4 linked regions of the Pelodiscus sinensis genome follow. The protein of the gene in region 1 interacts with the protein of each later gene in a pairwise test. Links are inferred from orthologs where the notes say so. Each region holds a gene or a part of one and is shown on either strand. Other genes may lie near its edges.

Region 1 (8,005 bases):
GTCTCATCACAACCATGCCCACCAAGGCATTGCTTTCTTCTATAGCCATGGCCACACATCCACAGCCACGCCCTCTCTAGCCATGCCATGCCTCATAACCATACTATCTCTAGCCACGCCCATTCCTTCAAAACCCCACCTATCTAGCCATGCCCTGTCCCCCATCAGCACTCTCTTTAGTCACATCCTATCCCTTACAGCCACACCCTCTCTAGCCATGCCCCAGACCCTGCACCAGCCACATCCTCTTTAGTTAAGCCCCCATCCCTGACAACCCCTTCCCCTCACCTGCAGGCTGCCAGCACAGCCTTGTGGGCCAGCAAGGGGCGTCCCCCCACCAGCAGGGTGACATCGGTCAAGACGTGGCGGTGGCGTAGCTGGTCCAGGTTCAGCAGCACGTCGCCGGCGTGGCGTGTGAACTCCCGGACGCAGCCAGCTGGGCCCCTGGCAGTGCCCCTGCTCATGGCGCCTGCAGATACAGGGGTGGGGAGGGTTCCCGCAGGCCAGATGTGTATGTGGAGGGGAAGAGACAGGGCTACTCAGAGGGGAGGGTAAGACACACAGAGTAGAGGGGCAAGAGTCTTGCATTCCAGTTCCCCTCCCTGGCTCTAACCCACCAGCCCCCGCTCTCCTCCCACAACCAAGGAGAGAACCCAAGAGTCCTGGCTTTCAGCCCTTTCCCCCCGCTTTAACCCACCAGCCCCCACTCCGCTCCCAGAGGCAGGAGAAAACCCAGGAGACCAGGTAATGACAGCTCACCCTGACCAGCAGGGACCCTCGGACACTCCTGCCAGCAGGACTTTCAGGGTGTAGAGGGGTGGTAAAGTCCCAGCTGTTCCCCCGGCCTGGAGAACCAGCCTCCAATAACTCAGCAGGGCTGGAGGCTCTTATAATGTCCTGGAGGGACAGGGGGAAGTTCTCTCTCTAGTTCACATCCTTCCTGCCCCGGCCCAGCTGCCAGGGAAAAGGCGGGGGGTGGAGGGGGGTTATTAATAGACCTTTCAGGAAAAAGGTAGGACAAATCCCAGATCCACAAACAAATGCAGCTCCCCACTCTAACTGCTAGTTCTCATATCCATCCCAGAGCCAAGGCAAGAACTCAGGAATCCTGGCTTCCAGCCCCCTTGTTCTACCCCACCAGGCCTGACTCCCCTCCCAGAGCCCGAGAGAGAATGCAGGAGCCCTGGCTCCCAGCCTCTCCTACTCAAGTCACCCCATTGCTATGCTAAGACACCCTTGGTTCCCCAGACCCAGGAATTGGGAGGAAGGGACTGGGATTTGGGGTGGGGGGCAGCTTGAGTGTTAGGTCTCTGAGTGAATTTGCTCTGTGCCATTTCCTCGTATTGTCTTCGCCTGTGCTGAGGGGCCAGGGCCGGGGGGAAGGCACGGAGGTGGGAATATGATGGGAGGAGGAAATAGACTGTTTGTTTTGGACCCCGATCCCAAGTTTGACGAGATTAAGACACACTGGTCTGGGGGGGCAGGGGAGCAATGGGATAGCTCAAACACATTCAGCTCAGTGCCAAGTGAGGGGTCCCCATGTAACTGGCCGTCCTGCCCCAGAGGTGGCCAAATCTCAGCACTGGGAGAGGGGTCCCTGTGTAACCCGCCACCTCGCCCCAGAGGAGGCTGCATCTCAGCACCAGGCAAGGGGTCCCCGTGTAACCAGCTGTCCTGCCCCAGAAGTGGTCGCATCTCAGTGTCAGGCAAGGGATTCCCGTGTAACCAGCTGCCCCATCCCAAAGGTGGCCAGGTTGAGGGGTCCCTGTGTAACCAGCCACCTCACCCCCTAAGATGGCTGTACCTCAGCACTGGGCGGGGGGCCCTTGTATAACTGGCAACCCCACGCTAGAGATGGCTACATCTCAGTAGCAGAAAGGCGTCCCTGGATGTTTCTGGACACAAAGCCTTTTGTGGTACAGCAACAAATGCAGGAAAAGCTCAGTGGGGAGGGAGGGTGGGGTTCCCCAGGCAGTGACATCATTCACTGCGGGGGGAGGAAGACAGCCTAGCAGCGTCGTGGGTTGGGGCACATTTAAAAGGCAGCTTGAGCAGCCCAGCTTCATTTGAAGCCATTCCCTGTGCCCAGGGCTGCACCCGCTGCCACCTTCCTCTCCGCATTGGTCTGCTGAACCCACATTTGTATGTACCAGCAGCACCAGGGCTCCCAGCCCCCACCAGCAGCAGAATCACTGTAGTTCCAGGACTTGTTGGCACCAGCCTGTGGCCATTCTGTGGCGCTGTGGGACTGCGGAGCTCCCTGACTTGCAGTGTCAGCCCCTTGCTAAGCAGGTGGCATGCTGCAGAACTGGGCCCTGATAACGGGAACTGAGCACCAGGACTTCTGGGTTCTAGCCCTAGCTGTGATGTTGGGTCAGTCCCATTCTGCTGTTCCTCAGTTTCCTTTCTCACATCAGACTGTCAGCTTTTTGGGTCAGGGATTTTCTTTCAGTGTGTGTCTGGGCAGAGTCCTGCCTGAAGGAGCCATTCTCCCTAGATTAGCTATTCAGATTTTCCTGGTGGCTGCCTGTGTGGATGGTGTGGGGAAGTGGGTTTCCAAGTCCCTCTCTCTTATTGGTTTAACGAGGGGAGGGAAGAGGGAATTGGTTGTTACAGGAACCAACACAGAACTGGAGAGTCTGGCCAGTGGGCTGGAGAATGGAGACCCCGGTGACTGGTAGGGTTCCCAGGGGTCCGGTTTTGAACCGGACAGCCTGGTATTTGAGCTTTCTGTCCAGGAAACAAATTGAGAAAATACCGGACATATAAATGTCTGGTATTTTCTAATTAAGTAAGTTTTAATATTATCATGAGTATCAGTACGCAACTACGCAGTAGAGAGGAGGGAGGTGAGGCCAGGGCCAGGGCTAGGGCCGGGGCCGGGGCCGGGGCGGGATGGAATCCCTGGGGCCAGATTTGCTCTTGCGCCCCGCCAGGGCCATGCACAGGATGGGCAGCACCCCGGGATCTGCGTGCACCCGGGCCAGTCCCGCCGGCCAGTTCCTCCTCCACTCCCCTCCCAGACAGCCCCGCTCCCCACTGGCCGGTTCCCCACAGGCCAGCCCCACTCCCCCCTGGCCAGCCCCACTCCCCCAAACCCTCTCCCGGCCAGCCCCACTCCTCACCGGCCACTTCCCCCCCGGCCAGCCCCAATCCCCCCAACCCTCTCCTGGCCAGCCCTGCTCCCTTTGATCCCCTCCCAGCCAGCCCTGCTCCCCCCAATCTCTTCCTGGCCATCCCTGCTTCCCACCGGCCGTTCCCCCACCCTGATCTCCTCCGACCAGCCCTGCTCCCCCCAACCTCCTCCTGGCCAGCCCCGCTCCTTTCCCGGCCAGTCCTCCCCCCAATCTGAGATCAAGTGTGTCTGGTATTTTTTTTAAATCATCTGGTACCCCTAGTGACTGGTGACCCCAGCCCAGACAGTAGAGAGAGGACCCCAATGACCTATCCAGCTGGTTCCAGCCCATGAGGACAAAGGACAGATGAGGGGAAAGAGAGACAGAAAAGAGAGGGGCCAGGGCAAGCTTGTTTACCAGGACAGAAGACATCGACAGCCATAGGACGGTTTGGGGCAGCCACCCCAGGCCCTGTGCCACCCCAGGCCCTGTGCCTTTGGGGTCTCTGTAGTGACCGCCAAAAACATCCTATAGACAAGACCCATGGCATTACATGGTGCCTGGGGCCTGAACAGGGGTGGGGCAGGGCCTGCAGCGGGTGGGGGCCCTGGAAATTAGGACAGCCATGGGGTTTGGGGGCAGGGAATATCAGAGGCCCAGATAGGAAGTGCTCAGGGCGCAGGATAGGAGGGGGAACAGAGCACCCAGAGCCCACCTGGCTTCAGGGAAGACTCAAACATGCTGGCTGTGTCTAGACTGAAAAGTTTTTCTGCAAAATCAGATGATTTTGCGGAAAAACTTGCCAGCTGTCTACACTGGCTGCTTGAATTTCCGGAAAAGCACTGACAATCTAATGTAAAATCATCAATACTTTTCCGGAAATACTATGCTGCTCCCGTTCGGGCAAAAGTCTTTTTCCGAAAGACTTTTGCCCAAAAGGGCCAGTGTAGACAGCATAGTAGTGTTTTCCGAAAAAAAAGCCCCGATCACGAAAATGGCGATCGGGGCTTTTTTGCGGAAAACCGTGTCTAGATTGGCCACGGACGTTTTTCCGCAAAAAGTGCTTTTGCGGAAAAGCATCCTGCCAATCTAGACGTGCTTTTCCGAAAATGCTTTTAACGGAAAACTTTTCTGTTAAAAGCATTTTCGGAAATTCGTGCCAGTCTAGACGTAGCCGCTGTGCTGAGGGAGGCCAGGCCTACCAACCCTGACAGTTTCTATGCTGTGTTCAGACGCTAAATAAACCCTCCTGTTTTATAGCTGAGAGTCGTTTTGGTCTGGAGAACAGGGCTGCATTATTCCCTCTGGGAGTGCAGGCTCAAGGGTCCAGGACAAGTGCACTCCCTGAGGGGGCCCACAACAGAAACAGGCATGCTGGGGGCTCAGAGAGGTGCAGTCCAAGGAGTTAAGGGGCTTAACTCCCAAAAGAGAGTGGCCCCTGAGAAGAGGCTGTCGCAGGGAAGGGGGTTCCCCCAGAGGCTGCACAGGGTCAAGCATGGGCACAAATCTGCAACAGACAGGCTACCAATAATCTCCAGGACTGATAAGGTAGCAGGAGAGGCTCAAGGATTGATAATGCTGGAAGGGAGCCAGGGATGCTAAGCAGGGCCCAGGAAACCCTTCTGCCAGGGAAAAGGCGGGTATCCAGTTCCCCACCCAGAGCCAGGCCGCTCCCTCCCACAGCCAGGAAGAGAACCCAGGAGTCCTGGCTCCCAGCCCCTCCCCGACCCAACCTCCAGCTCTGCTCTAACCCACCACCCCTCACTCCCCTCCCAGAGTGGGCGGGGGACCCTGCCTCCATCCCAGCCCAGGGTGGGCCTAGGTTGCCCCTCCCATCCCATGCTCCCCCCACCGGAAGTGGCAGGAATTCCCAGCCCCACGTGACCCTATCTGGAATGTGGTGTCGTCATCGAGGGGGTCCATTAAAAAGTTTTTGGGGGCAGGTGGGGGAGGGGGAACTTTTCCGGGAAGTTCGGAGCTGGCTGGATCCGGAAGCTCTAGGACTCTTCCCTGCGAGCCAGGGACCCTCCCAGCGGGGCAAGACAGGAGGCGGTGGGACCCCCCGCCGGGATTCCCCCTCGGGGTTAGGTAAGTAGCGGGTCCCTCCTCCCCGCAGGTATTCCCCCACGTGACCAGAGACACCCCCTCCTCGCACCTCTCCTCCCCCCGGGCACCCACGGGGGGGGGGAACCGGAGCAGGCTGGAGTAAGACCCCCACACCCGTGGGAATCCTTCCCAAAACCAGGGCTATGAGGCCAGGTGCGAGTTACATCATCCCCCCCCCTCCCCCGCGGCTACCAGGGCTGCCCCACACCCCTCCCAGAGCTGGGGAGAGAACCCAGGAGTCCTGATTTCTCGCTCTTCCCCCTCTAACCTCTCTACACCACTCCCCCCACAGGTCCCCGAGATGTCCGGTCCCACCTGGCTCCCCCCCAAGCGGGCAAGTTCTTCGGGGTCTCCCGGCGTCTCAGTCTCTGCTCCGGCGCTTTGCAAACCCCAGAAGAAACATGCCACGGGCCCTGCATCCCCCCGGTTGGCCCCCCAGGAACAGAACGGGGAAGGCATGAGTGGGACGGGCTACCAGCCAGAGGGCCCCGGTAAATACCTCCCCCTCCCCCCATGCCCGATGGGTCTGATCCAGGTGAGGGCAGTGGATGCCTGCCTGGGTTGCAAGGGAGCAAATCAGAGCAGAGGGGCTGGAAGCTCACACTCCTGGACTCTCCCCCCAGCTCAGGGAGGAGAGTGGGGGCTGATGGTTAGAGCAGGGGGACTGAGAGCCAGCACAGAGCAGGAGGGGTCTGACTCCTTTTTCCCTCTCTAGGCAGCCTCTCCCCCCATCATCAGGATCCCAGGGGGCCGGCCCCCCTGCTTTCTAGCTTTGGCCCCCTGGCTGGCTCCCAGCATCATCACCCATCTGTCTCTGGGGCCAAGGATGAGCGAGGCCTGGGGGCACCGTGGGGGGCTGCCCTGTCTGCTGCACGAGGATACCACATCCAGGTAGGAGGTGGAACAGGAGGGAGGATGGGCCAGAACATGGAGTCCTTGTAAAGGCAGGACTCAGGGTGAATTTCCTTATGTGCATGGCATTGGAAGGGCATCCCCCCAGCCCGGAGCACCCCTCAAAACCTCTCCTAGCCCTCAGGGATTTGAGGTAGTAGAGGAAGTGGGAGTAAAAGCTCTCCCATAGGGTGACAGCACAGTATCCTTGAAGGCTTAATTTTCCCATAATTAATCTGCCTTTGTCATAGGGGGCACAGGAGAAAGTGCCTTCCTGATCCTGCCCATCTCATGCCCTAGAGCATAATGCCCGATTTTTGTTAACTTGTGGAACTGCCTGCCACTAGGTCAGCAGCTGCACTCTGTGATTCCATCTTGCAAGTCTGGACTGTACCATACAGCCCCCCTATCTCTACACTCTAATCTGCTGTCTGTTTCCTTAGGGATCTGCCCTAGATCCAGGACCCCACCGCCCTTCCAGCATTGACGCCCAAATAGATTCACTCACCCATATGCTGGCAGATATGGAGAGCACCGGCCCCCAGCGCCAGGGAGAGAGGCAGGTAAACAGCCAGGAGGCTTTGGGGCGGTGGTTTCATTGGCACAGACTTTCCCACCAATGAAATGTCAGCCCTATGATCACTTCTTTCCAAGTACCTTCTTGCCCCTCTCCTTGCCATCATATGGCAACACCAGTGCCCAGCATCTCCAGAACCACTGGATCCAGACTCCACATGATGCCATTGGAAAGCAAAGACCCAGAACTTCCAGGTGGTATCAGCTACCCATTTCTCCTTCCCCCAGTTCTCCAGGTATTAGCCACTGGAAATTACTTTCCAACCTACATCCTGCGGTAAGGGAAATCAGGATGGTACACAGGAGTCACATTGGGCCTCTTTTAGTGCCTGATTTCTCCTGAACCATTGGGCATAGAGATGTCATGTGCTGCTGGAAAGCTAAAAATCCAAGCTTGCTAATGGAGTATGCCACAAGCTTTCAGCTTCGACGGTTTGTGCAATATTGATGGTTTTATGGGACCATTGTTGATGTAGCCAAAGTTGAGCGTTAACTTGCAGTCTTGGTGGGTTCCTTGGGGAATGGTGGCTCTTTTGATGTGTTGAGGGTTGGGGTGGGGAGCATTTTGGGGTGAGGTGGATTTGTAGGCTAGGGAGTCATTAGATATCCCCCCAAGTACAGCAGGGATCCCCAAATCCTCACCTATCTGCTTCCAGATGTCTGTTTCATCTTCTCCTTTCGTCTCCAGAACTTCGACTCTGTCCCGTATCCATCAGCAACTGCCCCCCCACAACCTGGCGCCCACAAAATGCCCAGCCCTTACAAGCCAGGCTCCTTTGCCCCACCCTGTGCCTCCAAGAGCTCATCATATGGGCCGTTGCCCCAACCTGCCACCTCAATGGCTCCCTCCGGGCCAGCTCCCCCATATGGGGCTGGCTATCCATGGATGCTGCCTGGGCAGAAGCTGTATCCACAGCCTATGCCTGCATCCTACACCACGGCCTCCACATCAGCTGGGCCAGCCTTCAACATCCAGGTCAAAGTTGCCCAGCCAGTGTTAGGCTATGGTCAGCCGAGACGCCGGGCTGAGCAGGCTTATGCACCCCCATCACCCGGAGCTGGCCGTGGGGCCCAGTACGGCTCAGAGCCAGGTGGCAGGGGGGTGGAGGGCTGGTATCTGGAGCCTGGGGGCTATGGCAAGAGGCTGGGTGAGGGGGAATGCTATGAGGCAGGAGGGCTGGCGAAGCCAGGAGAGGCATCCGGGACTCAGTACCAAGCTGCTGTGGGGACTCCAGGAAAGGAAGAGATGGCGGTGTCAGCAAAGGTGCCCCCTGGTGACAGAGGAGGATACCAGCACCAGGTAATGTGAGAGTAAA
Region 2 (7,114 bases), on another chromosome or scaffold:
AGGACAGGGGAGCTGGGCCCCTGGGCTCCCCAACCCTCCTTGCCCAGGGGCCCGGCTCCCCTGTCCTGGCCCTTGTAAATTGCCATGCCCCATTTGCCCTCCCCCTCAGTCTCAGCTGTGATTTTCTAAGTTTACCTTTATTGCAAGAAGAAAACCTTCTGGGCCATAATGTTGCATTAATGCCTCATTGTTAGATGTTTTTTGCATGACATTCCCATAGGAGTTACTTTGGAGGAAGATGGGGGAGGAGGACTCCCCACATTTCTTGGTCTTTATCCCCTGAGGAGGTGGCTTAGGGGAAAGGGTGGAGTGCAGGTGGAATGGAGGCAGAGAAGGGGTGGAGCATGGGGGGGGGGGGTTGTTCTAGGCCCCGCATCCCATCAGGGATGGCCCTGCTGGGCACAGCCAGTAGGAGGGGGCGCTGGAGCTAGCGCTACCCCATATGCAGCACCTAGGGGACCATGGAATTTGGTGCCCAAAATTTTGTGGTGCTCTTTATGGCTGCATATTTTGCATATATTGGTAGAGATAGTCATGATGTGGGGTGGGGGTGGCCAGAGTGTGGGCGGGGCCACACCTTAGAGTTTGGGAAGGCATTGCCTTCTCCTGCCTCTGATTCCCTCCACCCATGCTGATCAGAGAAGAAATACAGACGTTCTGGTAGTGGTGCACAGCTGACTGGGAAACTTCACTCAGTAGTTATCAAAGATACACAGTCCAACTGGAAGGGCATACGATTGGGGTGCCACGAGAGGTCTAGTTCCATTCAGTATCTTCATAAATTATTTGAATAGTGGCATAGCGAGGACAGTGTTAAAGCTGCAGACATAGCAAGCTAGGGGAGGGTACAAACACTTTGCAGCATAGGATTCAAGTCACCTTGAGAAACTGAAGAAACTGTCTGAAATAAAATAGGATAAAAATAACTAAGTACAAATGCAAAATGTTGTGTTCAGGAAGGAATAATCGATGGCACACGCACAAAGTGGGAAGTTCTGCCTACGAAGCAGTACAGCAGAAAAGGATGGGAGGGTTAATGCTGATCATATATTAAACAAGAGTCAACTATGTAACAGAGTTGCAAAAATAGCAAACCTCATTCCAGGATGTATTAGCAGACAAACAAAAGAGGTAATTCTTCCACTCTACTCTGCACTGAAGTAATGTGTCCAGTTCTGGAAATCACTTTTTGGGAAAGATGTGGTCAAATTGGAGAAAAATCCAGAGGAGAGCAACACACATGATTAAAGGTCTAGAAAACAGGATCTGCAAGGACAGATTGAAACAGCTGGGTTTGTTTAGTCTGGAGACTAGAAGACTGAAGAGGGACATGATAACAGGCTTCAAGTACCTAAAAGTTTGTTGTTTTTTTGTTTAAAAAAGAGGGTGATAGATTGTTCTCCTTAACAACTGAAGACAAGACAAGAAGCAAAGAAGAATGGATTTGAATTGCAGCCAGGGAGGTTTAGGTTGGACATTAGGAAAAACTCACTGTCAGAGTAATTAAGCTCCGGAACAAACAGCTGGGTTATTGGGGAATCTCTGCGTCTGGGGGGTTTTAAGACTAGGTTAGATAAACAGCTGCTGGGGGAGGGGAGAAGTTTACTAGATATGGGGTTCTTAATCTTTTACCTTCTGAGCACCCCACGCTCCCCTGACATGTTGCCCAGCTGTGCCACAAGAACTGTTTCACTGCATAGAAAAGCCAGCGGTGCAGTGAGGGAGTAGCAAGGTGGACAAGTGCCCGGGGTTCCACGCTACAGGGTGGCACCACAAAGCTATTACTTAGGGTTCCTCTTCAACCCCTAGTGGTGGGGCTTGGAGCCCCTGGCTGCAATCCTATGCAGCAGGGCTCTGGCTTTCTGCCCTGGGCCCTACAAAGTCTGATGCCAGTCATTCTTGGCAGCCCCCCTGAAACCTGCTGGTGGCCCCATTGGAGGCCATAAGCCCCCAGTGGAACATTCATGCTGTGGCTCCTGGCAAGAAAATGGAATTTCTACTGAGCCTAATGGATTTAGGTGCCTAATTTAATGAAAGTGGGCAACTAAGGCTTCTTTGAAAAAACCCAGCCTATGCTCCCTGTTAAGGGCCTTCTCATCTAGCTCTGGTTTCTACAGGATTCTGTTATTCGTTCGGTGTAAGTGACTCCAAGTCCAGTGATTTTCATCCTGGAGTCCCTGCACCCTAGGGGTGCGCAGACTCTGCCTAAGAGTCCCAAGGGAGTCCGCACACACATTTGGCATTTTTTAGGTGCCCACAAATGAAAAGCACGAGAGCCCCTTCTTTCATTGATGTTCACAGAAGATGGAAACGTGTGAACTGAAAGGAGGATTTGGCCCATCATCCAACTGCTCAAGGAGTATTAAGCTTAAAATAACAAGCTTCAATAAATTGTACATCACAAAAGCACTGATCCCAAAGTCAAATACAGACACAGGCCCAGGCTCTGCCCCTATAGATTGGGAGTTGCTTCAGATTTACACTGGGTCTCAATGAGACGGATTTTGGCCATTTGGGTAGGGGAAACAGAATTAGGGCCTGATCTTAGACCCATTAGAACCAACGGAGGGAGTCCTATTTATTCAGGGGGCATTTAATCCAGGCCTCTACTGCACAGAGTCAATGGTACAAGGGAGGGGGGAGAAAACTCAGGTTTCCAAGTGTGACACATAAAGAGAGGGAGCCAGGGTGTCCGAGGAGCATGGGAAGTTATCCCCAGCAATATGGGCTTACATGGGCAATTACCTTTATCTGAGACAGTTACTAGCCACTGTTCCTTTCATTGAAGGATTTAATTAACATTTGCTGAACATGACAAGCCATAACTATGTAACAGGGTTTGGGGAGAGGAAGGGAAGGAGAACTGTGCCAGGCAGAAATGAAAAAAAGCCTCCCTCCCATTAGAGCAGGAATCAGTAGGCAGGAATAGGAGCCCACCACCAGGAATCAGAGCCAGGTTACCTGGAACAAGCAGCTAGTGGCCAGGAACAAAGACTTTGCAGAGCACCCACTGCTCCAGTCACTGGGTGTAACTGTAAGCTGATCTGTGGACTCTTCCTACCAATCAGGCCAGGTATCCAATCACAAAGCCCACTACAGGCCAGCTGTGCTGGTTAGTTTGCTGGGAGATCATCTGCATTTCCTGGTTGCTGATACAGAGTCCCAGCTCTTTGGGGGTCACTACTCACCTTATATTTAACCGTACAATTTTCATGGGTAGTTGAGTTTTCCTGTTTCCTCAGGGTTCAGTTTCTTACCAATTGCTGCCTCCTCAGGATGGTGCCAGGAGGCACCCAGCTGGGAATCAAGGTCGCCAAGTGTGAAACCCTCTGGCTTTTCATTCTTTCTGTGATAAGAGGGTTATTAAGCAGTGCTGAGGCTCAGAAGTGCTGGATTAGGTGGTTGCATTATCCTGAATTAATATTGACTGTGGAAAAGAAGCTTGAAACAAGAGGTTTGTTTCTTGATGGCCTGGCTGATAAAATAACCCATTCATTTAGGCATAAGCTTTTGTGGGCTGGGAAGGAGCTTATGCTCAAGTAAATTTGTTAGTCTTTAAGGTGCCCGGGGCCTCATTGTTTTGGCTGATAAAAGTCTCCTTCTCAGACAGGTGGCCGCGTCACTCTGTATCTGCATCTCTTTGTTAAGGTTACGAGGGCCTTACCTCCCAGTCATCTATAATAACTCTATGGCTACGTCTACATTGGCATGATCTTGTGCAAGAACTCTTCCAGAAGAGAGCGTCTACATTGGCATGTGCCTTTGCGCAAGAGATGTGCTTTTGCGCAAGAGCATCCTTGCCAGTGTAGACGCTCTCTTGCACAAGAAAGCTCTGATGGCCATTTTAACCATAGGGCTTTCTTGTGCAAGAAATTCATGTTGCCTGGCTACACTGGCCTCTTGCGCAAGAACAGTTGCACAAGAGGGCTTCTTCCTGAGCAGGAGCGTCATAGTTCTTGTGCAAGAAGCCCTGATTTCATACATTAGAACGTCAGTGTTCTTGCACCAAAACTCGAGGCCAGTGTAGATAGGCAGCAAGTTTTGGCACAAAAGCGGCTGCTTTTGCGCAAGATCATGCCAATGTAGACACAGCCTATGGGAAATATATTCTCTAGGAATCAGCACAGAGAGCAGCTGCCATGAAAACAGTGAGGCCCAGAGAAACAAGCGCAGTAGATAGAAAATCCCTTGCCTTTTGGCCTTCCCCTGCTTTGAAGTGGGAAGTGAGAGCCCAGACCTAGAGACAATTCCACTTCACAGACTTACCCCGACTGTGAGTTAGTCCCTGCAATACACACTTGAGAACCAGTTCTTTGAAGTGGAAACAGGGCCCCAAAGACATGGGAAGTCTGGGGGCACAAAGCTTCCCGTGTGAATTAGTATGATCTCTCACATTTCAACTTCCAAGAACAAAATAAATAAAACATTAACTGCATCTGAAAACACAGAGGCTACGTCTACACTGGCATGATCTTGCGCAAAAACTCTTTAGTGCAAGAGTTCTTGCGTTAAAGTAATTGTGCAAGAGAACATCTACACTGGCATGTGCTTTTGCACAAGAGCATCCATGCCAGTGTAGACGCTCTCTTGCGCAAGAAAGCTCTGATGACCATTTTAACCATAGGGCTTTCTTGTGCAAGAAATTCATGTTGCCTGTCTACACTGGCCTCTTGTGCAAAAACAGTTGCGCAAAAGGGCTTATTCCTGAGTGGGAGCATCATAGTTCTTGCTCAAGAAGCCCTGATTTCATACAGTAGAACGTCAGTTTACTTGCGCAATAACACATGGCCAGTGTAGACAGGCAGCAGTGTAAACAGGCAACTGCTTTTGCGGAAAAACTTGCCAGCTGTCTACACTGTCCGCTTGAATTTCTGCAAGAACGCTGACGATCTCATGTAAGATTGTCAGTGTTCCTGCGGAAATAATATGCTGCTCCCGTTCGGGCAAAAGCCCTTTTGTGCAAATGCTTTTGCGCAAGAGGGCCAGTGTAGACAACGCGGTATTGTTTTGCGCAAAAAAGCCCCAATTGCGAAAATGGCGATTGGGGCTTTCTTGCACAAAACCGCGTCTAGATTGTTTTTGCGGAAAAGTGTCCGTGCCAATCTAGATGCTCTTTTCTGCAAATGCTTTTAATGGAAATTTTCCGTTAAAAGCATTTGCGGAAAATCATGCCAGTCTATATATAGCCCTATGGCAATGTCTACACTGGCAGGTTCTTGCGCAAGAATGGCCATTCTTCCACAGTGTCTGCACTGCCCGCCTGCTCTTGCACAAGAAGATTTACAGTACGGCGTCGGAAGAGAGGGCTTCTTGCGCAGGAGCTATGCTCTTTTCTAACAGGTGTAAGCCCTCTTGTGCAGGAGCTCTTGCGCAAGAGGGCAGTGTGGACACAGATCACAGGTTTCTTGTGCAAGAAAGCCCTATGGCTAAAATGACCATCAGAGCTTTCTTGCACAAGAGAGCGTCCACACTGCCATGGATGCTCTTGCGCAAAAGCACATGGCCATGTGGACAAGTTCTTGTGCAGGAGTGCTTGTGTAGAAACTCTTGCGCAAGAACCCGCCAGTGTAGACATAGCCCTGGTGTCCTGTTCTCGAGTCTATTGTTAAAACCAGACTTTCCAGGTGAGGGCAGATACTTTAAGGAGTAGACCTTGTCATAGACCCCTTTGAAAATCCCCCTTCCTAGAAAAAAAACAAACAGAACCAACCAACCAACACAACACTCCCCAAAGCCCAGCTCTTCTAAGCAGTGGATCTCAAAGCACTTTCTCATGAGATGAATTCAAGGTTGGTCTGTTCTCTGAAGCCTTGTTTCAGAGGGGTGGCCGTGTAAGTCTGTTTCAGCAAAAACAGGAAGGCTGGTGGTACCTTAAAATAAGTTTATTGGGAGCAATATGCAGTGCTGTGACTGCTCATTTTTAGTGTTACATGGCTACCCCTCTGAAATGTTATCGTGAGCTACAGCTCACTTCCTCAGATGCTTGAAAGAAAGGGAGGGATATAGCGATGGGAGTGTAACGTCAGTGCTGAGTCACTCAGGGTGAATATGGTTCATCTCCAGCCATGATGAGAAGGTGAGTACCTGAAGGGGAAATGACTCCTTGTAAAGAGAGCCTTGCCATAGAATAAGCTTTAAGAAATTTCCCTTTTAGGTACTCTCACCACCTTATCATGGCTGGAAGTGAGCCACGTCCACCTTGCTTTTACACTCCCATCTCTCTATCCCAGCCGTTCTTCCATTTCAAGCGTCTGAGAAGAAGTGAGCTATATCTCACAATTAGCTCACCCTTATCATTTGTAAGTCTTTAAAGGTGCCACTGGACTCCTTGTTGTTTTCTCTGAAATCATTTACCCAGGTTTAGGCTAGTCTAAGTTTTAGATGACCCAGTGTGCGCAGTAGCTGATATTCTATTTGTTGAGGGACGTGTCCAGGATAGAAGAGAAGACCATAGTGCCTGCAAGTGACAGTGGGTTGCCATTTCTGTGTTACGTAATATATTTAAAAAAATTAAGTGGTTACTAGAGACAAAAATCTTCTTGCCTCACTCAGAACTCCACCCCCGGGGAGGAGGGGAGGGCTTTCCAAAACCTCCCTCAGATTGGAAGACTGTTCTCTAGAGAGCTCAAGTCTCACTGCTAGAAAACGGTGCCTGATTTCTGACTCAGCCTAGATTTCTAATTGCTCACGTTCAAAAGCAGCAGCCAAAGAAAAGCTATTCACAGTCTCTGCTGGGGTCCTGCGAGAGGTAACTCAGGGCAGCAGATGGGCCTAAGTGGTAAAGGCAAAGAACTACATGCCGCCTGCTCTCCCTCCTCCTAGTCAGGCTGTAATAAAAGTGTGACTCACCGGAAAGCTGTGGAAGATGGAAATGTGTTGCTTGGACACAGTCACCTGACCTGGGTCAAAGTCCCATGGCAGGGTCAGTTAAGTACCCCCCCAGTCAAGGAGGCCTAACCCTGAAATATAAGCACATGGCTACCCCCATGACAGGAATGAATGGGTAGAGGAGAGGAGCTAGCAAGATTCTGGCCAGCTCTTTCTGTCTGGGAGTCTGTCCAACTGTGTTCAGGCGCTCTCAGCTCCCCAGCAAGCGAGGCAGTGAAGTTTAATT
Region 3 (7,727 bases), on another chromosome or scaffold:
CGCCGCCGCCCGAGCTGCGTGCCTGGGGCCGGCACCGGCGCCGCACGCCCGCATGTGCCCCGGGGCTGGGGCCGCCCGAGCGCCGCGCACCAGGCGCCGGTGAGTGTCGCGTGCCTGGGGCCGGCGCCTCCAGTGCACCGGGGGCGGGGCCAGCCCGGGTTGTCGGCGGGCGCCTACAAATGCCCCGGCGGGCGCCATGGTGCCCGCAGGCACCGCGTTGGGGACCACTGGTCTAGACAGTACTGGGTCCTGCCGTGAGGGCAGGGGACTGGACTCAATGACCTCTCAAGGTCCCTTCCAGTCCTAGTATTCTATGGTTCTATGATTCTTAATCTCCAACTATTAGTGATTTGGATAAGACCTTCACAAGGAGCAGATTAACCCGTATCTTCTTGCTCTGGGATTTCTTAAACCTTCCTCTTTAGCATCTGGTGTTGGCCACTTTAAGAGACAAGATTCTGACCAGTGATCTGATCCAATCTAGGGATGTTAAATACTCGTTAATTGAATAGTCAAGTAACCTCATGAATTCTTATCAGTTACTCGATTATTCTATAGACCCTTGCAGTGCTTTGTTAAAAAAAAAAAAAAAAGTGCCAGTACTCCAGGGGAAAAGTTGTTGAGCTCTGACTGGAGGTGCGGGTACTACATCTGGAAATGCCGGTACTGCGTCTGGAAGTGCCGGTACTGAGTACCTGGCAGTACCATCACAAAAACACTGGACCCCGAGGGTGGGGCCAGCAGGCAGTGCACTCCAGCCCCACACCTGAGGAGCCTCCTGCCACTCGGCGCTGCTGCCTCTATAATATTTAATATAATAGAGGCAGCAGTGCAGGGTGTCAGGCAGGAGCTGGTCTATGAGGGGAGGCAGTTGAAAAACCAGCTCCCCTCGCAGACCGGCTGCCTGTCACAGAGGCAGCAGCCCGGGATGACAGCAGCCCCTGTCCAGGGGTGGGGCTGAGCTCCTGAACACAGCACAAGCTGGACTGCCTGCCCACCTGGCTCCTAATACACTTTAAATGCAGAGCCACAGCGGGGGTAGGTCCCGGATCCAACGAGAAGCAGGACTGAGCTGGCCTGCTGGCCAGCCTGCTAAAAAATTTACTGGCAAGAGGGGCTGGGAAACGTGTGTAGTTTATAGCGTTAACCGATACGCTTTTGCTTATAGTTAATCGACTACACTGTTACATCTCTAATCCAGTCCATTCCACGGAAGCATCAGCAGTGGGGCAGGGAGGGAACCGGCCATTAGAGTCCCCTCTGAATCATAGCAATTAACTGGACTGGACTAGAAAAACATGGCTGCAGGCCTTTCATTCTGATCAGGAAAGGAAAGGGTGCTGGTTAGAAGGTGCAAGAAAAATACCGCAAAAGGCACTGAAATGACACACAAGTGTTGGAGCTCCAAGAGAACAGGAAGGGCAGAGTGAAATTAGACACTGCGACCACACTTGCTAACGCAAGCGGAGTGAAGTACCTGGACAAAAGAACAAAGCTGAGAAAATCAATGGCTGACCAAGTTCCGTGTCTCTCTTACATGTTGCATGTCCATCCCTTTCTGTAGGACATTTGATTAGACTGTAGGCAAGGACCTCATTTACATGTTTACACGGCACCCCGCACAATGGGGCTCTGATCCAGACTGGGGCCACAGGAACATAAACGTGAACTAACACGTGAATAGCCATCACCCCCTACCCACATTCTCATTTGCACAACAGGTCTCTGCTCCAGCTGAAGTTTCACCAGCTGGGCAACACCCCTCTCAAATCCTGATATGGGAAAGCGGGGAAGGGAAATAGTCTGCCACCTTCACAGCCCCTATGAATTCTCTTCTGCGCTCACTTGGCTCAAGACCAACTGGGCTCCCCCACTGCCCCCCGAAGTGTCAGCAGACAGCGAAACGAGGGAAACAACAGAGCCCCCAGGGTTCCCAACGTCACTTAAAAACATCGGTAACAGTGTCCCCGCCCCCGCCACACGGGACACCTGCCCAGTCTATAGGTTGTCCCAGCCCCCCATCACAGAACCTCTAATCCCACCCCCCCACTGCCTCCCCCAGAGCCCTCAGTCCCCCCCACAGCCCCCCCATCACAGAACCCCCAATTCCACCCAATCCCCCACTGCGCCCACCAGGGCCCTCAGTCCCCCCCACAGCCCCCCATCACAGAACCCCCAATCCCGCCCCCCCACTGCCCCCACCAGGGCCCTCAGTCCCCCCCACAGCCCCCCATCACAGAACCCCCAATCCCACCCAATCCCCCACTGCGCCCACCAGGGCCCTCACTCCCCCCCACAGCCCCCCATCACAGAACCCCCAATTCCACCCAATCCCCCACTGCGCCCACCAGGGCCCTCAGTCCCCCCCACAGCCCCCCATCACAGAACCCCCAATCCCGCCCCCCCACTGCCCCCACCAGGGCCCTCACTCCCCCCCACAGCCCCCCATCACAGAACCCCCAATCCCACCCAATCCCCCACTGCGCCCACCAGGGCCCTCACTCCCCCCCACAGCCCCCCATCACAGAACCCCCAATCCCACCCAATCCCCCACTGCGCCCACCAGGGCCCTCACTCCCCCCCACAGCCCCCCATCACAGAACCCCCAATTCCACCCAATCCCCCACTGCGCCCACCAGGGCCCTCAGTCCCCCCCACAGCCCCCCATCACAGAACCCCCAATCCCACCCAATCCCCCACTGCCCCCACCAGGGCCCTCAGTCCCCCCCACAACCTCCCCATCACAGAACCCCCAATCCCACCCCCCCATTGCCCCCCCAGGGCCCTCAGTCCCCCCCACACAGAACCCTCTCCGCACCCCCCCACCAGGGCCCAGTCCCCCCACAGCCCCCGTATCACGTGACCCCTCCGCAGCCGGCCGCGCTCACCCGCCGTCGGCAGGAGCCGGGCCGCTCTCCGGCTCTGTCCCGCAAGGGCGGGTCCCCACGGCGCCTCGCCATAGCAACCAGCCACACTTCCGCTAGGGGCGGCGCTCCCGCCGGAAGTGGCCGGCTCGGCGCGGCCGCCGGCGCGAGCGAGCGGAGGTGGGCGGGGCCACGGGCGCGCGGCGAGGGGGCGGGGCCTGAGAGGCAATGGGACCCGCATGCCCCGGGATCCTGGCCAGGGCCCCTCCCCCCGCGAGGGCGTGGCCGGTCCCTAGCTCCGCCCAGCTGGGCCCCTCCCCCCGCGAGGGCGTGGCCGGTCCCTAGCTCCGCCCGTCTGGGCCCCTCCCCCCGCGAGGGCGTGGCCGGTCCTTAGCTCCGCCCAGCTGGGCCCCTCCCCCCGCGAGGGCCTGGCCGGTCCCTAGCTCCGCCCAGCTGGGCCCCTCCCCCCGCGAGGGCCTGGCCGGTCCCTAGCTCCGCCCAGCTGGGCCCCTCCCCCCGCGAGGGCCTGGCCGGTCCCTAGCTCCGCCCAGCTGGGCCCCTCCCCCGCGAGGGCGTGGCCGGTCCCTAACTCCGCCCAGCTGGGCCCCTCCCCCCGCGAGGGCCTGGCCGGTCCCTAGCTCCGCCCATCTGGGCCCCTCCCCCCGCGAGGGCGTGGCCGGTCCCTAACTCCGCCCAGCTGGGCCCCTCCCCCCCGCGAGGGCCTGGCCGGTCCCTAACTCCGTCCAGCTGGGCCCCTCCCCCCGCGAGGGCCTGGCCGGTCCCTAGCTCCGCCCAGCTGGGCCCCTCCCCCCCGCGAGGGCCTGACCGGTCCCTAGCTCCGCCCAGCTGGGCCCCTCCCCCCCGCGAGGGCGTGGCCGGTCCCTAGCTCCGCCCAGCTGGGCCCCTCCCCCTGCGAGGGCCTGACCGGTCCCTAGCTCCGCCCAGCTGGGCCCCTCCCCCCCGCGAGGGCCTGGCCGGTCCCTAGCTCCGCCCAGCTGGGCCCCTCCCCCCGCGAGGGCCTGGCCGGTCCCTAGCTCCGCCCAGCTGGGCCCCTCCCCCTTGGGCCCTGCTGTCCAGCGGGCTGCTCCAGGCTGCCCAGGCCGGTCTCCCCCCCAGCTCAGGCTGTGCCCGCAGTGCCAATGCCGCCTGCCTCCCTGGAAGGTCCCTTCCCCCCTTCCTGACACTTGGGACCAAGCCCTAGCGCAATAGGAGCCCCAGAGGAGAAGGGGGCTGGCGGGGGCGGGGGCTAGTCCCACCCCACAGGCAGCTGAGCGATCGGCCCAGCAGATGGGCTGGTAGAAGATGCTAATTGCCGTAGCCATTAGGAAGATCGCTCCCCACTCTCTCCCCCCCCCCCCCCCCGATGAGCCAGTGACTCAGCTAGCTGGTCCCTCCCGCCCTCTCACCCCACCTTCCGGACTAAATCTGATCTGTCAGTTTAACAACGGGTTCACTTTTCCATTGTATCCTTTGGTATACGTGGTCCTGCCAATTCTCGTCCAGAATTTGATCTGAGGAAGTGGGGCTGGCCCACGAACGCTCATCCCCTAATAAACCATCTTGTTAGTCTCTAAAGTGCTGCCCAGTTTCTCCTTTTGTTTTATCGACATGTTTCCTTAGTCAAAGTGCTACCAGACCATTCGCTGCTTTTTCTGCCACAGACTCACTCGGTTGCCCCCTCAAATTCCTTTCGCAGGCAGCTGCATTTGAAGGGAACCTCCTGGATCCTAGCCCAAGTCACCAGACCTCCTCCCCCATCCCAGCCCCTCAGTGCCATGACATTTCCACCCTGTCCCTTGGTGGCTTCCCTCTGCGGCTGCCTGGAGGGTGAAGGGTTTCCCTGCCGCGCAGGAGCTACGCTCGCCGGCCTTAGGGCTGGCGGCTGCTGTGTCTCTATCCTTTGCTTCGGACAGCTGCCCTAGCCTAGCCAGTCTCCCTGAGCGCTGTATGCTCTAGCCAAGAGATTTCCAAAGGCGGGGGCCCCGACAGCAGGGTATGACTGCTGGCTCCTGACCCATATTCTACCCCCCCACCCCACTGGGGCTACATAACGCTGCTCCCTGCAGCATTCCTGGGCTCACACAGGGGCTGTCTCTAGACTGGCCAGTTTTTCTGGAAAATCAGCCGCTTTTCCGGAAAAACTTGCCAGCTGTCTACACTGGCCGCTTGAATTTCCGCAAAATCACTGACTTCCTACGGTAAGAAATCAGTGCTTCTTGCGGGAATACTATGCTGCTCCCATTCGGGCAAAAGTCCCTTTTGCACAAAACTTTTGCGCAAAAGGGCCAGTGTAGACAGCTCAGATTTGTTTTCTGCAAAAAAGCCCCGATTGCGAAAATGGCGATCGGGGCTTTTTTGCAGAAAAGCGCGTCTAGATTGGCCACGGACACTTTTCCGCAAAAAGTGCTTTTGCGGAAAAGCGTCCGTGCCAATCTAGACGCTCTGTTCCAAAAATGCTTTTAACGGAAAACTTTTCCGTTAAAAGCATTTCCGGAAAATCATGCCAGTCTAGACATAGCCAGGGAGTAGCTCTCCAGCAGGCTGGCAGGCCATGGGGACCGGTGGCCCAAAGCGCAGGTAGCCAGCCACAGACACGCAGCAGAGAAGGACAAGCAGGAACAGCTCTAGAGCTGGACAGAAAAAGGAGAAGAGGCATGGGGGGGGGAACCCCAAAAGCAGAGGGGAAAGGAGACAAGAAGGGAAAGGGCAGCAAGGAAAAGCCGGGAGAGGCAGCGGCGGGCCAGGCGGGGAAGGCTGAGGCAGGCCGGGAAGGGCCAGGGGAGCTGATGCGGCTGCCCGAGTTCACCCGTTCATTTCCTGCCAGTGTCCCCGAGCCGGGCTTTGTGAAAGCCGTTCCCAAGCACGCTGGCCGGCCCAGCGCCCCGAGGCCGCACCGGTGTCTCACTGCAGCCAGGGTTAGCAGCTCACCTCCCTAGGACACGGGGTGCCAGGGAGCAGGCCTGGGCCTCGCCGCACAGCAGGCCAGAAGAACATCGAGAGTCCCCTGAGCCGTGCCAGGGCTTCCGAGGCAGCTCCCGATTGTAGCTGTGAAGAAGGCACTAGGATCCGTGCAAATTCACCAGGGAAAGCGCCCCCTTCTGGGCGACCTCGCTGATGCCTGCAGCCTGGCACCCTCCTGTCCTGGGGCTTTGGAGTTGGCCTTGACAGCAAGGCAGCCTCCCCTCCCGGGTCATGCACCCCTCGATCTGTGCTGGGGCTTGGGTGGGCCCTGACGGCAAGGCGAGGCAGCCTCCCCCCACCCCGTCCTGCAGCCCTGGCTCCTGATGGGGGTGGGGCACCGTCCCCGGGGGTGGCACGCAGGCCATTTCCAGAGAGAGAATGAGCTGGCTCTGCAGCCGGGATGGGCAAGCATTTTTCAAGAGCAGCCACTTCGCAAATTGTTACAGTCGGCCGCCCTGGAAGGGGCGGGGCCTCAGACAGAAAGGGCGGAGCCAGGACACTTCTCATGCTCCCCCATCCCCAGGTCTCGATTGGCCGGGGGGGGGGGGAGTGGCAAGGCAGCTGCAGGCCGGGTGAGTCCGGCCCCTGGAAGCTGTCTTGCCCACCCCTGCCCTACCGCCTAAGCTGAGCGCCAGCTGGCTTTTAGCCCAAGCTGTAGCGCCTCCTGCCCTGAGCTCCGGAGGTGCCCGGTTCGGGCCCGCCTGTCGGCGCTTCGCTGGCTCAGGACAGCAGCCCCCGCGGCTTCCCCAGGGGGTCTCCCCTTCCAGCCTGACGCCGCGAAGCCTTCGGGAGCCAACTCTCCACGGTGCCGAAGGCTCCCGGCTCCGTTAGGCAGCGCAGCTGGCGTTCAGCCCCCAGCATGCTTTGCAGGCTGAGTCTCGCAGGGGCGTTCTGCTGACATCACAATGGGGAGACTTCACAGCCCCTGGAGCTGGGTCCAGAGACATCCCCCAGCACAGGCTCCAGGCTCCGCCTTTCCCCACGGCCTGCCGGAGCCCCGGCCATGGCCCAGGCAGGGCCAGCGTGGGGCACAGCCCCCCACGCCTGCGGGAAAGGAGGGCCCTGTGGCAGAATAGACCGAGCCGGGCTCCTCCCTTCCTGCGAGGATGAAGCGGACGACTGGGAGACCGACCCGGACTATATAAACGATGCCCCAGGGAGAGGCTGTTGGTGGGGGGATGGCCAGGGAGCCGGCTCCCAGATCTCAACCGCCTCCATCATCTCCGGTGAGGCCCAGAGAGCGCTGGGGAGAGCCCGTGGCTGCTGCCGCGAGGGGCGTGTGGGCGGCCGGCCCCTAGAGCCCTGCCAATCCGCCGACCGCGGCTTCACACGTGGAATCGCGTGGGTCAGTTTTACACACTGTATCCGCGCTGGGTCTTCCGCCAGCACCGAACCCACAGGCCTGCCCCCCTCTCCTGCCTGTCGCCCTGCTGCTGCCGCCCTTGGGGGGGCAGGATCCGGGGCAGACGGGGGTGCCTGGGGCAGGAAGTGATACTGACCGCCAGCCAGTGCCCTGGCTGTAGAGGGGCTGCCGCGAGCCTAAGGAGACCCATTGACCCCTCTCCACTCGCTGGCAGCCCGACAGATTTCCAGTGGGGACAGCCGGCAAGTGGGGGCCCAACCCAGGGGAAACCTTTGGTCCTGCGTCTCACACACACGCACGCTCTCTCTGCACAAGCAGCGAAGGCACGTCCTGCCACTTGCCGGGGGCTCAGGCCCATGTGTGACCCTGGGCAAGTGGCGCGTGTCAGAGCCCGGTGCCTCGGTTTCCCCTGCCAGGGAAGGTGCTAGAGGTGGGTGGTGGGGAATCAGCCAGCGCTGCTTGTTGCGAATTGCTCTTTCCTTTCTGGGGCTGTTTCAGATCTGTCCAACTCCATCCGGGGCTGTGAGCTGAACTGGCCT
Region 4 (7,739 bases), on another chromosome or scaffold:
AGAACAATTATTCTTCCTCCTCCTTGTAACACCCTTTTAGGTATTTGAAAGCTGTTATGTCCCCTCTCAATCTTCCCTTTTCCAAACTAAACAACCTAATTCTTCCAGTCTTCCCTCATAGGTCATGTTTTCTAGGCCTTTAATCATTTTTGTTGCTCTTCTCTGGACTCTCTCCAATTTCTCCACATCTTTTTTGAAATGTGCCCAGAACCAGAAGAATTACTACTTGTGTCTTGCTCACAACACTCCTGTCAGTGCATTCCAGCATCATGGGTTGGTTTTTTTTGCAACACTGTCACATTGTTGACTCATATTTAGCTTGTGGTCCACTCTGACCCCTAGATCCCTTTCTGCAGTACTCCTTCCTAGACAGTCATTTCCTATTTTGTATGTGGAACTGATAGCTCCATCTTAAGTGGAGTACTCTGCATTTGTCCTTTTTAAACTTCATCCTATTTACCACAGACCATTTCTCTAGTTTGTCCAGACCAGTTTGAATTATGACCCTATCCTCCAAAGCAGTGGTTCCCAACCTTTTTTGTACCAGACACCAGCAAACCCATTCACAAACTTTTGAAGGAATGGTAGCATTTTATTTGCATAGTCATCCAAAAGCAATACAATAATATTGGAGATCCCTTGCACTTCAGGCAGACTGTGTTTGCCATAAACAGTTTTTTAAAACCACAGGTAGATAAAGCACCTTTCACAATAGGATTTGTAGTTGGAAGCTTTCAAGCACAAATAATTCAGTTTGTTTTGTTAAGGCACCAATTAAATCATTATAAAATGAGGTGGCAAGAAGTGACACTGCCTCATTTTACAATGTCCTTTTTATAAGCTGGAAACGCCTTCTAGTTATTTAAAATTTTCTTAATTAAGCATGATGAAGAGAGACTGCCATTAATATGGGATTCTGTCTAATGTGGTGCGCTTGAAACAAAAAAGAAACAAGTCTTACACAGCAAAATACAAATCAAAAGAGGGTTTCAAATCTAGACAGGCTACAGAAGTCATTGCAATTGTTTGGACTCAGAATGATGATTTCAGGAATTCAAGTGATGTGATGCTGTAATAAACCTAACCAGACAAAATGCCTTCCCATAATATAAGATGATGCCATTAGCCACCAATCAGAACCCTTCAGTCATGTACTTCAGTCACCAATAAGGGACCAGACAGAGAACTCAAGAGAAACTGGCCATTTAAAACTAAAAAAGTCTATCACAGCTGAGTGGAATAAGAGTTTGAATAATTTTTTAAAAACCCAACATCATGTTTTTCTGAAGGCAGCACATGAAAGTGGGCAATTACTACAAATCACCATAGTGAGGCAAAAACAACAACAAATAGTCTGGTAGCACTTTATAGACTAACAAAACATATAGATGGTATCATGAGCTTTCGTGGGCATAGCCCACTTCTTCAGATGACCGGAGTTAAAGTGGGCTGTGCCCACGAAAGCTCATGATACCATCTACATGTTTTGTTAGTCTATAAAGTGATACCAGACCATTTGTTGGTTTTTTCTGTAACAGCTTAACTCGGCTACCCCCTAAAGCATAGTGAGGCAGTTCGACATAAACAAATATCCTGAGTTAGACTGAATCAGGGGCGGATTTCCCTCCCTCACCCCCCAATGAGTCCAGCCTGAATTGTCTTCCAGGCTTGGTTATTTTCATGGTTGCGTATGTACTAAAGTGAGACAGCCCAACAGATGCAAACACCCCTCCATTACACAGGAAAATGCTTTCGGCTGGAATAATAAAAACCTGCAGGTGCTGGATTCGAGTTCTGGCTGAGTCTGAAAGTACTCACCTGTCCTGCTGTGTCATAGAGCCCCAACAGATACTGCTTTCCCCCAACTGTAACAGTGACTGTAAAAGGAAAAAAAAATACAGGCATGGCTAATACTGTAGCGAAAGGGCATACAGGCTCAGAGGAATGTTTTCAATTACACAAGCAGATTAAAAAAAAGCAGGTCTAAAAAGCTAGCGCAAGAACACATCTGCAGTGCACTTGGCGATTTGGAAAGAATGGGTTTCATAGTTATGTCGCCCTCGCCAGACACCCGCCACCACTGGAAGTCCCGTTTCTACCATTCCGGGTACTTGCATTAAAAAAAAACCCATCTAGTCCAGACATTTCTATAGGCGGCACTACCCCTCCCCCAGGCAGTTTCACACACTGGGCAGGATCCTTCCTATGTCCTGTCCTCGGGAGGCTCCTTCCCGGCTGGGAGCGGGAGGCCGGAGCGGCCGGGGTACAACACCCAGACTTTGTGAAGAAGGTCACGGCAGGAGGAGAGAGGCTCCGGGTGGGAAAATGGCAAAGTTGCTCTAAAGTTCTCCGGGGGCAGGGGAGGAGCCTCTTACTCAGCACTTCTGAGCCCGCCCGCCCGCTTACCTGCATAGTGGTCAAACACGGTGGGCACATACTCCTCGGGGAAGGCGTCGTTGGCGTAGCTCATCAGCAAGCACGTCTTGCCCACGGCCCCGTCTCCCACCACCACGCACTTCAGCATGAGCGCCCCCGTCCCATTGGCCATGCTGCGCGGCCAGTCGGCATGGTCACGGGCTCAGCGCCGCGCCGAAGGGCGAGTCCGCATCTTCGCCGCCCCCCCCGCCGCGGGTCGCTCAGCAGGCGCCGCAGCTCGCCGGCGCTGACATGTCTCCCCCGGGCAGTGCCAAATTTGGCTGCGAGGGGTTTGCCTTCCCCTCGCTCCAGCGGAGCGCGATGACACAATGGATCATAAGACGTGCAGCCCCGAGAAAACGGGAACTTTGGGCAGGCACAGCCGTACCCGAAGCGCGGCGCTCGCCGCCTCTGGCCCGCGCTGCCCCAGGGGCAAGCCACCCCCCCACTCCCTCCCGGCTGCAGAGACAAACGCCCCGCAGAGGGGCTGCAGCGCAGGGCGCCCGCAAGCAAGTCTTCTGCCACTTTACTTTCCTGCCCGCCCCCGCCCCCAACTTGTCCAGGCTTCTGCCACCACTTCGGAAACCCTGCAATCTCAGACTAGCTTTACTCGGAGGCGAAAGGAGGAGCAAAGCCAAATTGCTAAAGAGCAACGGAGGGCTCCTCTCCAAAGAGCCAGCCGCTCTCAGAAACGTGCAGGGCGTTAGAGGTGCTCCCAGGGCTTCCTTCTGGAAAGAAAAAGAAAAGGGGAAATAAATCCCTTCCTCAAATAAACCCAGCATCACATGCCCGCTGATTTGGAGCCGATCGTCTTCTAGACGAGCTGTGTATCGGAAAGAGGGAGTTTTAAACTAGAGGGATTAGCTAGCAGGAGAGCGATGCTGATATGCACACAACACGTACCTATATTAAACACACACACCGATGCACAATAAAACGTCATCTCCAACATAAGTTACTAGTGGCTCAGTTGCTTTCTTTTCCACCAAACACTCCACAAAACCCTTCATCCAAAAGGGGTAGATTTTATTAAAAATGACATTAGAATTTAGGGAGCCTCCTTGCCTCTTGACTCTGATTTGGGCTGGTTAGAAATTAATACCAATTAATTTTCCTACTGTGAAGACTTGCTGGGACCGCCTTCCCCCTTCCCTCCATAAAATAATCTATTATGAATAAGAAGCCTTTTCAAAACAAAATGGTGTCAGGTTGAAATGTGGCTTAATTGCTGAGACCAGTATGAAAAGAGTAGGACAGAAAATGACTCTTCCCTCCTTTCCCCCCAGCATTGGACATATTTTAAAGATGTCTTCATAGGGAGACAAATATTTTCTTGGGTCTGAATTTCATGTTCATATGCTAATGTATTGGAAATGTGTATATGTCCCAGTCATTACATTCTGTCCTAAATACAGATGTGCCTCTACATGAACCCATCTCTAATATATAATAAGTGCTGAAGTAACCAGGTCTTTCATGGCTATTAAATAACAATAGTCCATATATCCAAACAGCCACAAATGTTGGGTCTTCAGGAAACAAGCAATGCCATCCACATGACAGAGTGCTGCTGGCTTTAACTAAAGTTTTAAACCATCATTGAGAAGTCTGGATGCAGTGTTAACTTACTACTTGCCAAGGCCCTGAAATGTATTGAGTTCCCAGTAGCTTTGTTGGCCAACACCCTCACATTAGCTTGGCAAGAATTAATGATAAAATATATTGTATAAGAGATTATGAATGATCATTAAGATTATTAAGATTATTGATCATTAAGATCAATAGCAAAACTCCCATTGGTGCTCAGAGTTCAACCCCCAGTAGTATTTCTTTAATGCAGGAGACCACACTAATAGTCAGCTCAGTGATAGTAAAACTCACTTTTTATTTAGTCTTGGTGAAATCCATTTTTATTGTTTAATCATTTCAATGGATATTGATGTTTATTTTTAAGCATTTTTTACAATATTTATCAAATTACATTTTAGCAGTTGTGCAAAATTATAGGATATAATATTTTATTTGTTATGAATTTAAATGTTCACAGTTGAAGGACATTATAGTTAGTGTCACATGTCAAAGTGTACAAAGTAAATGTCCTTACATAAAACTCTAAAGTAGTGAAGCAGCATTTTCTCACTTTGGAGAAGATCATGGAGATACAGAAGACGATGGAGACACAGCCGCCCTCTGCATATTGATTATGACAACATAAGAATGGCCACACTGGACCAGACCAAAAGTCCATCTAGACCAGTAGTCTGTTTTCTGATGGTAGCCAATGCCAGGTGCCCCAGAGGGAATGAGCAGAAGAGGCAATCTTCAAGTGATCCCTCCCCTGTCACCCATTCCCAGAGGCTAGGTACACCATCCCTGCCCATCCTGGCTAATAGCCATTGATGGACCTAATCTCCATGAAATTATCTAGCTCTTTGAACCTTGTAATCTTGGCCTTTACAACAACCTCTGGCAAAGTGAACCACAGGTTGATTGTGTATTGTGTGAAAAAATACCTGGAGGATGAGGTAGACGAGGCTTTCTTCAGAAGTTTCCAGATCACAGGTGCAGATTCACATGGGGGATTTCAATCACTCTGACATCTGCTTGGAGTGTTATACAGCATGCAGAAGTATAATCAGGAAGGCCAAAGCACAACTGGAGTTGCAGATAGCAAGGGATGTGAAGGATAACAAGGAAGGTTTCTACAGATATATTAGTACCAAGAAGAAGGTCAGGAAAGCTGTAGGACCCTTATTCAACAGGGAAGGCAACCTAGGAACACATAAGGTGGAAAAAGCTGAAGTTCTTACTACCTGCTTTTTTTTTCCCCCTTCAGACTTCACAGATCAGGTCAGCTCCCAGACTGCTACTACATTGGGTAGCACAATATGGGGAGAAGGTGAGTTGTGAAAGAACAGGTTAAGGACTATATAGAAAAGCTGGACATGCACAAATCCATGGGTTGGATCTAATGCATCTGAGGGTGCTGTGAGAATTGCCTGATATGACTGCAGAGCCATTGGCCATTATCTTTGAAAACTTGAGGTGACTGAGGTAGGTCCCAAATGACTCAAAAAGGCAAATGTAGTGCCCATCTTTAAAAAAGGGAAGAAGGGGAATCCAGGGAACTACAGACCAGTCAGCCTCACCTTAGTTCCTAGAAAAATCATAGAGGAGGGCAATTTGTGCTCTATAGAGGTCTTTCTAATAGGAGCCATTCTTTTCTGAGTACTATCTTATCCAATCAGAGCTGTCCTTACACATTTGTGTATGGTGTGCTGGCATTGCTCAGGGGGTACCAGTTCCCACATATGTCTGAGTCTCACTCTGAACTAAATTTAACTTATCCCAGCACTATATTCATGATTGGCCATCCTACTTAACCACTCCCTCCCATCTACTTATTCCACTCCCTCCCATCTGTAAGTAGGGTCTGAATCATGTTTCCATTACAGCACACTCAAATGGGAAGGAAAACCTGGGTATGGTTATGTAAATACAGTTCACTCAGTTTGCTTAGGCCTTCTAGATAGTCAACTGTTAGAAGGTGTTTTGCCCATTGTAACCAATTTGGCTGTTGTGGGATCACTAACCATGTTAACACTAAATGCAGGAATTGTGAGATATGATCAACAATGTTTGCAGTTATCGGGAATGCAGAAAAGTCAGACTGTTTAACTCAGTTCAAAGGAGAGACCCTGTCAGTGTAAATACACTTGGATGGGCAGAGGCTCATCTTCCAGACCCCTATATATTAAGCTGGGCAGGGAGGTGAGTTAGCAGGTTGTATGATTGCCAGGCAGGAACTGTAAGACTGGTTCAATCTGTTTCTCCCCACTGTTTCAATTATGGAGTTAAAGAAAGGTTCCATAAGGAGTCTCTTTTGTATATAAACATTCTCCAGAGGATGCTGGAATCTCTTGTGGCTTGTCTGTGCTTTAGGCTAAAAGCTGAAATCACAAGGTTTGTCCCAGAACCAAATCCACCACAAGCCATAGGAAGATGAGATGAGCAGGTGGTGAGTGACCAGTGGAGTGGGTGAGATGCCTTCTACCCCCACTCAGGATGAGAGGTTAAATCTGCAGCTCACCTCTGAGCTCTGGTCTGCCTTGACCAAGGGTAGCGACTGTGAGTGGGGTGCAAAGAAGGGTTGTGCATGTGAAGGGGACACTTTGCTGGACTTCAGTGCTTGAGAGGAAAAGGACATTGCTAAACCTACGTGAGCTGGGACATTTACTCGTGGTTTTGGTTATGAACTCTGTGGTGTTTTCCCAAATTAATGCCACTTTACTTCCTGCCCCTATTGCTAAAGGTTTCTTTTCTATGCTCAGACTCTGTGCTTGTGAGAGGCGGAGTATTGCCTCCCAGAGGCGCCCAGAGGTGTGTGTGAGTTTCCCAGGTTTCTGGGTGGGGACTTGAGCCAGTTCTGTGTTGGGTGGATGGAGAGGAACCCCTAGATATTGAATCCAGCCCTTGCTGCTGCTGGTGCTATCTGGCAGAAGCATTACACATCTAAGAGTGGCTGGAGACTCACTAGTAGGAGCTATTGGGTGGGATTGGCTTTTACTCAACCCATGAGCTGGGAGATCTCCATTTTGAAACACTTGGAGGAGAAAAAGGTGATCAGGAACAGTCTACATGGTTCTACTAAGGCCATATCATGTCTGATGAACCTTCTATAATGAGAACTGGCTCCTTGGATATGGGGATGGCGGTGGATGTGATATACCTTGACTTTAGCAAAGCTTTTGATAGATCTTGCAAAGTATTCTTGCCAGCAAGTTAAAGAAGTATGGATCATTTGGTTCATTGGGCAGCAATCAAAAGCTTGATGTGTAGTTGAAAACTGGTATCAAATGGGATGCCCCAGGGGTCAGCCCTGCCAGGGCCATTCCAAGGGAGGCATGTGGCCTGGGACAGCACCTCCCCCCACTCCACAGTGCCCCTGGTGCAGGGCCCAGAACAATCCTACTGCCATAGGCCTCAATTCACCCTGCCTCTGCTTCACCCTGCTGTCCACCCACTTACTTCTTCCATAAACTCCCACCCCTGCTTGGCCTCACCATGCCCCTAGAGTTGCCAGGTGTCTGGTATTGACCCGGACAGTCTGGTATTTTCACGTCCTGTCCGGACACCTAATTCTGATTTTTTTCCCAGCCAGAAGGTGATAATACTGGGTGCGTACCTAGTTCCACAGAGGAGCTGTCTGGCCTGGAGCAGGGAGACAAGATGGTACGGCCGCTAACAGCCTGTTAGGGCCAAAAAGTCTCAAAGCATTTCTTAAAGGGGCCATGCTGGGGATTAAATTTTTTTTTTTTGCTTAA

Evidence for each region.
Region 2: the proteins of thyroid receptor-interacting protein 6-like (region 1) and LPAR2 interact in a two-hybrid assay, tested with the Homo sapiens proteins (2 studies listed by BioGRID). The link is inferred for Pelodiscus sinensis from reciprocal best matches to the Homo sapiens genes TRIP6 and LPAR2.
Region 3: the proteins of thyroid receptor-interacting protein 6-like (region 1) and PPP1R16A interact in binary tests that used the Homo sapiens proteins (3 or more experiments, as listed by UniProt). The two-hybrid records come from large-scale screens. The link is inferred for Pelodiscus sinensis from reciprocal best matches to the Homo sapiens genes TRIP6 and PPP1R16A.
Region 4: the proteins of thyroid receptor-interacting protein 6-like (region 1) and RHOQ interact in a two-hybrid assay, tested with the Homo sapiens proteins (2 studies listed by BioGRID and IntAct). The two-hybrid records come from large-scale screens. The link is inferred for Pelodiscus sinensis from reciprocal best matches to the Homo sapiens genes TRIP6 and RHOQ.

Annotation. Positions count from the first base shown.
Region 1 is NC_134734.1:9,899,345-9,907,349, forward strand, and holds the start of thyroid receptor-interacting protein 6-like, read left to right. Parts: upstream 1-4,990; 5' UTR 4,991-5,011; coding exon 5,012-5,204; intron 5,205-5,514; exon of another isoform or gene 5,515-5,523; coding exon of another isoform or gene 5,524-5,713; intron 5,714-5,937; coding exon 5,938-6,113; intron 6,114-6,556; coding exon 6,557-6,676; intron 6,677-6,682; exon of another isoform or gene 6,683-6,748; coding exon of another isoform or gene 6,749-6,925; intron 6,926-7,377; coding exon 7,378-7,989; intron 7,990-8,005. Other genes in the region: BCL6B (B-cell CLL/lymphoma 6 member B protein), read right to left, coding at 289-464. UniProt on the Homo sapiens protein: Relays signals from the cell surface to the nucleus to weaken adherens junction and promote actin cytoskeleton reorganization and cell invasiveness. Involved in lysophosphatidic acid-induced cell adhesion and migration.
Region 2 is NC_134729.1:14,363,183-14,370,296, reverse strand, and holds the start of LPAR2 (lysophosphatidic acid receptor 2), read right to left. Parts: upstream 3,002-7,114; 5' UTR 2,962-3,001; intron 1-2,961. UniProt on the Homo sapiens protein: Receptor for lysophosphatidic acid (LPA), a mediator of diverse cellular activities. Seems to be coupled to the G(i)/G(o), G(12)/G(13), and G(q) families of heteromeric G proteins. Plays a key role in phospholipase C-beta (PLC-beta) signaling pathway.
Region 3 is NC_134712.1:1,124,662-1,132,388, reverse strand, and holds the start of PPP1R16A (protein phosphatase 1 regulatory subunit 16A), read right to left. Parts: upstream 3,006-7,727; 5' UTR 2,889-3,005; intron 1-2,888. Other genes in the region: uncharacterized protein LOC142826897, read left to right, coding at 6,829-7,051, 7,687-7,727. UniProt on the Homo sapiens protein: Inhibits protein phosphatase 1 activity toward phosphorylase, myosin light chain and myosin substrates.
Region 4 is NC_134713.1:164,186,045-164,193,783, forward strand, and holds the start of RHOQ (rho-related GTP-binding protein RhoQ), read right to left. Parts: upstream 3,002-7,739; 5' UTR 2,549-3,001; coding exon 2,407-2,548; intron 1,878-2,406; coding exon 1,819-1,877; intron 1-1,818. UniProt on the Homo sapiens protein: Plasma membrane-associated small GTPase which cycles between an active GTP-bound and an inactive GDP-bound state. In active state binds to a variety of effector proteins to regulate cellular responses. Involved in epithelial cell polarization processes.